Drosophila melanogaster: one gene and its partner. The protein of the gene in region 1 interacts with the protein of each later gene in a biochemical or structural test. Each region holds a gene or a part of one and is shown on either strand. Other genes may lie near its edges.

Evidence for each region.
Region 2: the proteins of NC2beta (region 1) and NC2alpha form a complex in vitro, tested with the Drosophila melanogaster proteins (one study listed by BioGRID).

What each region holds. Positions count from the first base shown.
Region 1 is NT_033779.5:15,005,964-15,009,089, reverse strand, and holds NC2beta (negative cofactor 2beta), read right to left. Parts: upstream 1,278-3,126; 5' UTR 1,173-1,277; coding exon 621-1,172; 3' UTR 552-620; downstream 1-551. Other genes in the region: THG (tRNA-histidine guanylyltransferase), read left to right, coding at 1-408; Ankrd49, read left to right, coding at 1,749-1,884, 1,934-2,445; DCTN5-p25 (dynactin 5, p25 subunit), read right to left, coding at 2,551-2,772, 2,830-3,126. UniProt on the Drosophila melanogaster protein: Bifunctional basic transcription factor. Activates transcription of DPE (Downstream Promoter Element) containing promoters while repressing transcription of promoters which contain TATA elements.
Region 2 is NT_033778.4:21,668,411-21,672,226, reverse strand, and holds NC2alpha (negative cofactor 2alpha), read right to left. Parts: upstream 2,076-3,816; 5' UTR 1,981-2,075; coding exon 1,939-1,980; intron 1,732-1,938; coding exon 748-1,731; 3' UTR 634-747; downstream 1-633. Other genes in the region: CG15676 (uncharacterized protein), read right to left, coding at 1-498; CG42381 (uncharacterized protein), read left to right, coding at 2,409-2,472, 2,534-2,690, 2,747-2,756; CG42379 (uncharacterized protein), read left to right, coding at 2,756-3,010; CG42380 (uncharacterized protein), read left to right, coding at 3,019-3,216; PIG-M (phosphatidylinositol glycan anchor biosynthesis class M), read left to right, coding at 3,239-3,816.

The DNA of each region.
Region 1 (3,126 bases):
GTGAACAACCTGTACAATACCGCCTTTTGGAAACTCGTTTTGGAAAAAGGCCTGACGAACCAGCAAGCCGAGGCGAAACTCCGTGGCACCTTTTCGGCGGACAAAAATGAGCTGCTCTTCCAGGAATTCGGGATAAATTACAACAATCTGCCGGCAATGTACAGAAAGGGAACGATTCTGCTGAGAAAACGCGTGATATTGGGTGAGAAGAGCAGGCAGGCCGTGGTGCCGCTGCACGAGGATCTGATATCTTCGCAGTTCTGGAAGGAACACACCGAAATATTGGGAAAATATGTGCCAGGCACATACGACGCACCACAAACTTTTCCCCGATTGGTGGAGATGCAAATAAATGGCAAGGATGACAATGAGGCGGAGGAGCCACAAAATCTGGCTGGTACCAGCTGATATAATAACGAATAGTCTTGCATTTTTAAAGATTAAAGTTACGATACATCTAAGGAAGTCGTTTCGGAGATTGAGGATGCGGTGCCCAGGCTGCTGGAGTGAAGGACAAACGGATGATCCGTAATGAAGAGTAGCTAATAGTTGAAAGTTCAACTTATGGCATATATTTTAAGATTAAATCTACACTAAGCTCATAGAAAGACTATTTCCTACTAGTAGTCGTCGTCGTCATCGTCATCGTCATCCTCACTTGGCTTGCTGGCAACGGAGCCGTCTGCCAGCGGTGGTCGCTGCACCATTGCTGCCGCTTGCATGCTCATCCACTGCTGCTGCTCCTCGCGCGCCTGCTCCTCGCGTGCCTTGGCGAACAGCTCCTGCTGCTGGCGCAGCAGCTCCTCCTCCGGAATGCCCAGGTTCTCTAGGCGCGTGCTCTGGCGCCTTCGCTTGGCTGCCACCTCCTTGCAGTCGTGCAGAACGGCCTCCGCCTCTTGTTTGTAGTCGTGAAAACCCAAGCGTTCCAACGCCTCCAGGACGTGCTCTGCGTTTATCGTCTTCTTGTTGCGCATGTTGCACACCTCGTTGGCCTCCGAACTGATCAGATGAATGAACTCTGAGCAGCAGTTGAGTATCAGCTCGCGACTCTCGTTGGCCACCCGCACCGTGGGCACCAGCTCCTTGATGATCTTGTTGATGCTGGCCCGTGGCAGGGTCAGCTCGTCGTCCTCGGCGCTGGGCGGCAGTAGTTCTTCCTGCGGATTCGACATGGCGTCCTGGTTTCAAGGAACAAACAAACAAACAAACTTGGAAGCAGATGTTTTTCTCGGATTTACTAGTATAGTGTGCTAGAGTGGCCGTTTACTGCTAACAGAAAAATGTAATCGAAAAATTATTGTTTTTGTAAATAAATGAAATCATTAATTGATTGAAATGAACTATATAAAGCATATATAGCTAAAAATAAAATATATAAATGATGATATAAAATGATGTATATCATTTATGTATTCAACACAAATTTAATGGCTTAATAATCTTTGATTAATTTGATTTTGATGAATATTATAAATAATACAGCCTTTTTTTAAATGGCAGACTTTTCAAATAAAAGAATAATTTTTTTATAATTCCTACCATTATTTATATAAATAGTTTTTTTTTTTTTATTTGAAAAACCAAATGTACTGTTCTTTTTAAAACTCCACTCTTCGTTTAGTATATTTTTAAGTGTTTAGTATTTTTTTAAGTGTACTTAAGCGGCTAAGCAACGGTCACTTTGAGAAATAGAAAACAAAAAGTTGAGCTGTTTAAATTCCGGCTTATTATTAATATATTACCACAAAATGGGGGACTACGATTCCGATGATGAAAAATCACAGGTGGAGAAGCTGCGCCACGCCAAAGTGCCGCGCGGAATGTTCGTGAGCGGCTGGGACGACGATGCCGACGAACTGATCGAAGAGGACAAGAACCCACAAAGTAAGTAGAATACATTTTAGAGAAATAGTTTAATTAAACATCATCATAGGCAGCATTGAACGCATGATTCTGTGGGCGGTGAACGAGAACCGCATCAGCGAGGTGCGGGAAATCCTAAAACTGGACGCAGACACCGTGAACGCCAAGGATAACGACGGATACACGCCGCTGCACCGAGCTGCCTATAATAACTTTGTGGATATGGCCAAGTTGCTGCTGCAGTACCATGCCAATCCCAACGCCCGCACGGAGCTGGGATGGACGCCATTGCACTCCGCCTGCAAGTGGAACAATGCGGATTGCGCCCATTTGCTGCTGCAGTTTGGCGCCGATGTAAATGCGGAATCGGACGGCAAGCAGACGCCGCTTCACATAACCGCCACTGTGTCCAATTGTCGGAATACGGCCACGGTCCTTCTGCTGGACCGATACATCCAGCCGCGCAAGGAGAACAACTCCGAGGAACTGGCCTCGGTGATTGCCCGTCGTACTGGCATGAGTTTTCCCATTTTCGAGTCCGGCGAGGAAGCCTACGACTGCGAAACGGGACTGATAGATTAATCACTTAATAGTCAAACTATGCGCATACTTATAGAATAACTAATATAATATGTTTATTTCATAAATAATGTTTTCTGTCGATGGAATTGGTAGACACCACGATTTTCAGCTGGCTGGCGCTGGAGCCCTCACGAAATGCTCGTAGAATGACTTAGTGTAGTTGATCATCTCGTCCTGCATGGCGGCGGGCACAAAATACGGATTGCCCTGGCCACCCTCGATGGTTCCCCTCGCCGTGTAACGCATGTAGCTGGACACGGTAGTTTCTGGCGGCAGGACAGCCCCATCCTCAATTACACAGCAGTCTTTCAAAACACAGCGACGGCCCTGAAAGATGGTAAAAGTAAATGGATTACAAGGGTATAACAATAAGTAATAGCTTACTATGATGGCATTCTTGCCGATGTACACATAGGATCCAATGGTGGCCGCCGAGACGACTGCTCCTTCGCCAACGAAAACATGCTCACCGACGTGCATGGGAAAGAAGGCGATTCCCTTGCTGAATTGTTTGTACGGCGGTCGGATGACGGAGTTCTTGCCAATCACACAATATCTTCCCGTCCGGACATTGGCCAGATCGCCGCGAATGATGGCGCCGCTCTGTACGATCACCTTGCCGTTCAAAATAATGTTTTGGGAACCACAGAGCACCGTGTGGCGACTAACTTTGTTACCCGA
Region 2 (3,816 bases), on another chromosome or scaffold:
GTTCACCTGATCCTGCAGATAGTCGATATCGTGCTCATGTTGCAATTGCTGCTTCACCAGGCTGGTGATGTCCTTTTTGATGAACTCCTCCGCCTCGGACAGCTCGAATTCCATTTGCAGAGATGCGCCCACTTGAAGGGTAACCTTTTGCACTGGCGGTATGCTCACCCATCTGAATACTCCCTGTGCGATTTGCACGAGGCTGTGAACTTCCTTGTCAGGATTGTCTATGAACCTCCTCACCAATTCCAAATTATTTTTGGCAGCCTCCAAACGGGTTAACACTGCTGTGAGGTCAGTCTCCAACTTGGCAGCCAGTTCGCTGTATTGCACATAGAAAAGGCGTTGCATCTTCAATGCCGCTGGAACAGTCGAATAGAACTCTGGCTTGGCGATGTAGCTGACGACATCGTCAACTAACTTGGCCTCTGGGATGGGCATAAATGACTTTCGGCCGCCCAGAGGCGGCTTTTTTATGGTGTCTATGAATGCAAACATTTTCAATAATTGTTGAACTTGTTTAGTACATCTAATTCAAAGATAAACTGATTTAATATCGTATGCAAATTAAACAGCATTATCTGCTAGAATGTATAAATTTTCTTTCTCTATTTAAAGTACTCCGCATTGCGTCAGCTTAAAATCCAGCATGGTCTTTATTTTGCAAAAAATGTTATTGTGATTTCTTAGACCTAGAGTACATATTAATGTATCAATAATTTAAAAGCGCATTCACATAGATCCTAATCAAATATTGTCATAGTCTTCGTCTAATTCGAAAACGGTTTCAGTGGGGGTCGCTGATGCCGCTGTGGCCTTTGGAATGATGGGAGCGCTGCTCTTTCCAGCCATTTGGTTCACATTATTGTTGTCCCCCGGCGTGGCCGCTGGTAATCCAATAGAGGCGGGGGGCACACCACTGCCAGGTGCTCCACCGGCCACGATATTCGTCAGATCGATATTGATCACCGGAGCAGCTATGTCGAAGTTAAAAGCTCCAGATCCGGCGCCCGATCCTGACCCAGAATCAGAGGCGTCCGGTGTGCACAGGTTCGCCGTCGGCATTTGCACGTGGCTGTAGTCGATCTTGACAATGGGCTTGTTGAGTTCGTAGTTGCAGATCGGGGCGGGTATGGCAGTATCGAGCTGCACCGACTGTTTCTTGAGGTGATTGGGCGGTCTGCCCCGTGGCGTGTAGGCCGGCATGGACCCGGAGCGGGCCAGCTTGGCGGGCAGGGTGGTGCTGGTGGTGGGAGTTTCCTGGGTGGAGTGCTGCGACTGAAACTGCCGCTTGGTGGCTGCGGCTCCTCCGCCCGATCCGGCTCCGTTGTTCAGACTCATGGAGCGCATGTAGGCAGCTGTGCCGTTCGCCTGCGAGCGCATTGACGTCGATGGCAGGCTAAGATCATATGGCGTGTCTGAATCTGGATACTGTTCCTCTGGCGAGCTGCGTAACACATCGTCCTCGTTGTAGGCGGCCTCCTCGGCCACACTGATGTCGGGTATGTTGCGGACCAGCTCCTTGAGGAAGTCAAAGCGTTTCTCGGATACGATACACTGCCTCATGTGCGATGGCGATAGCGTCTTGGCGTTGCGCGCATTCGTGATGCGCAGCGTCTTGGTCAGCAGCGACTCCACGAAGAGCTCCAGCGTGCGTGAGATGATAACAGGCACCGCCTGGGCCACCTTCCCGATTTCCTCGTCGCTTTGCATGATCTTCTTGATGCGACCCTGCAAGGAGTTTATGGTAATGGTTTGGAAACATTATAATCTCGCACCGGTTTGGTTTCTCCTCTACTTCTTTTGAGCCTCTGATTATGCGAGGCGTGTATGTACATATGTATGTACACATGCACGAAAACTGATAACCCATCTTCGGCGTTCACGGCCGCCAAATGGCTGGAGCTTTCCTGTCGCCAATCGGTGGTTTCAACTTACCGCCGGAAAGCGTGCGTTGTATTTTTTCTTTTTCGATGGCATTTTCCGATTTGTGAAGTAATCGTCAAGAGTCCTAGTGAAATAAAACAAATGTGTGTGTGTTTTTCACACAAGAACAGTTCCTTGGTGCCCAACTGTCGGCGTCGATGGGTGAATGGCAGTTGCTCTCGCAGCAGGCGGGGTATTCACAGGGAAGCAAAAGGTATTAATATCAAAATTTGAAAGATTAAAAATTTTTGTACATTATAAGAGATGTTATTTCTTTTTGTTGTTATTTATGTGATTGTTTTTTATTTTGCTTTGATGTATTAGGTTTCCTACACAGCTGACCGTCGCGCAGTCTGGCTACCTTGATCGTGCACTGTGAATGACTACAACCGCCAAGAAGAAGAAGAGTGCAGAACACTTCCAAGTACTTTTCACATATTGCAAGAGCGATTTAATATCGTAAGAATTCTGGGCAGGATTACATGTCTGACACTCGCAAGGATCCCTGCAAACCGAACGCCTGCCGCATACAAGCCTGTCTGACCAGTAAGCACCGCCGGTGACTCCATTTTCATGGTTATGTAAGCTGACTTGCACTCGGTTACAGAGAATCACTACCAGGAGGACAAGTGCTTGGATGTCCTTGAGGCAATGCGCCAGTGCTGTTTAAAGTGGCACAAGGAATCGCTTTGCTGCAGTGGAATCGATTTGGAGAAGACTTATCTACCAGACGCATCCAAGGAAAAGAACGCAACCGGCAAGTCGTGAGTTGTAGCCAACTTCTCTATTCCATATACACTATTATCAACTCGTTTTGCAGGAACAAATAATGTCCATACCGCAGTATAGGCCTCCGAAGGAAATTCAAGACTTGCTGGACCAAAAGGAGCAACAGCAAGCAAATCAGCGCAGGCGAACCGCTGTGCTACCCAAACGCACGTGGATTCAGCGAAATCCACGCCTGTTCCAGATCTCCTTCATCACAGGCTCACTTCTGATCTTCTTCTCCAAGCCCCTGTTTGACTGCTTTATCGCCGATCCCCTACCACCGCCGGAGAACAAAGTTCCGCCTCACAAGCGCTAAGCTAAGGCATGGAATCGGTGCGCAAAGCCAACCAAAGAATCCGCAACTATCCAGTTCTGCTAAGCAAGTGCGCGGACAAAGCCACTGCGTATGCGGTTTGCGTGTCGCGTGATCTAAACGTGCAGCACAAAATCTGCGACACCGAGTTCAAGGAGTTCCTAAGCTGTATCCGCAAGACCGCTTTGGAAATGAAGACCAAGCTTTAGACAAACGTAAACAATAAACACGATGACTCAAACAAAGGCTGCGACCACTGGATGGCAGCGACTGGGTCGCCGCATCCTTTACACTAGCTTTCGGACCCATCTACTAATATCCGCCCTGCTGCGAATAGCTTTAATTTGCTACGGACAATTACACGACAGTCAGTCCGCCGTGCCCTACACCGATATAGACTACAAGGTGGTGACTGATGGAGCCCGTCAAGTTCTGGCTGGGGACACACCCTTCGCCAGGCATACTTACCGATATAGCCCAATCATGGCATATCTGCAGACTTTTAACATCCTGCTTCATCCGGCGTGGGGTAAACTACTGTATGCGACATTCGATCTTCTCATCGCCACACTTATTTACCGTCTGGTGCACATGGAAATCAAGAGTCAGTACCAGAAGACCGTACAACACCTGCTTAGCAAGTTCAACAGGCCACGGGACTCGGACCAATCGCTGGATGCCCTGGATGAGCGAAGTCATCCAGAGAACTTGGCCCGCGCCTCTGCTTGCTTTTGGTTATACAACCCGCTGACGGCTGTAATATCCACACGTGGAAGCGGCGATTGCTTCTCAAGCTTCTTCGTGATACT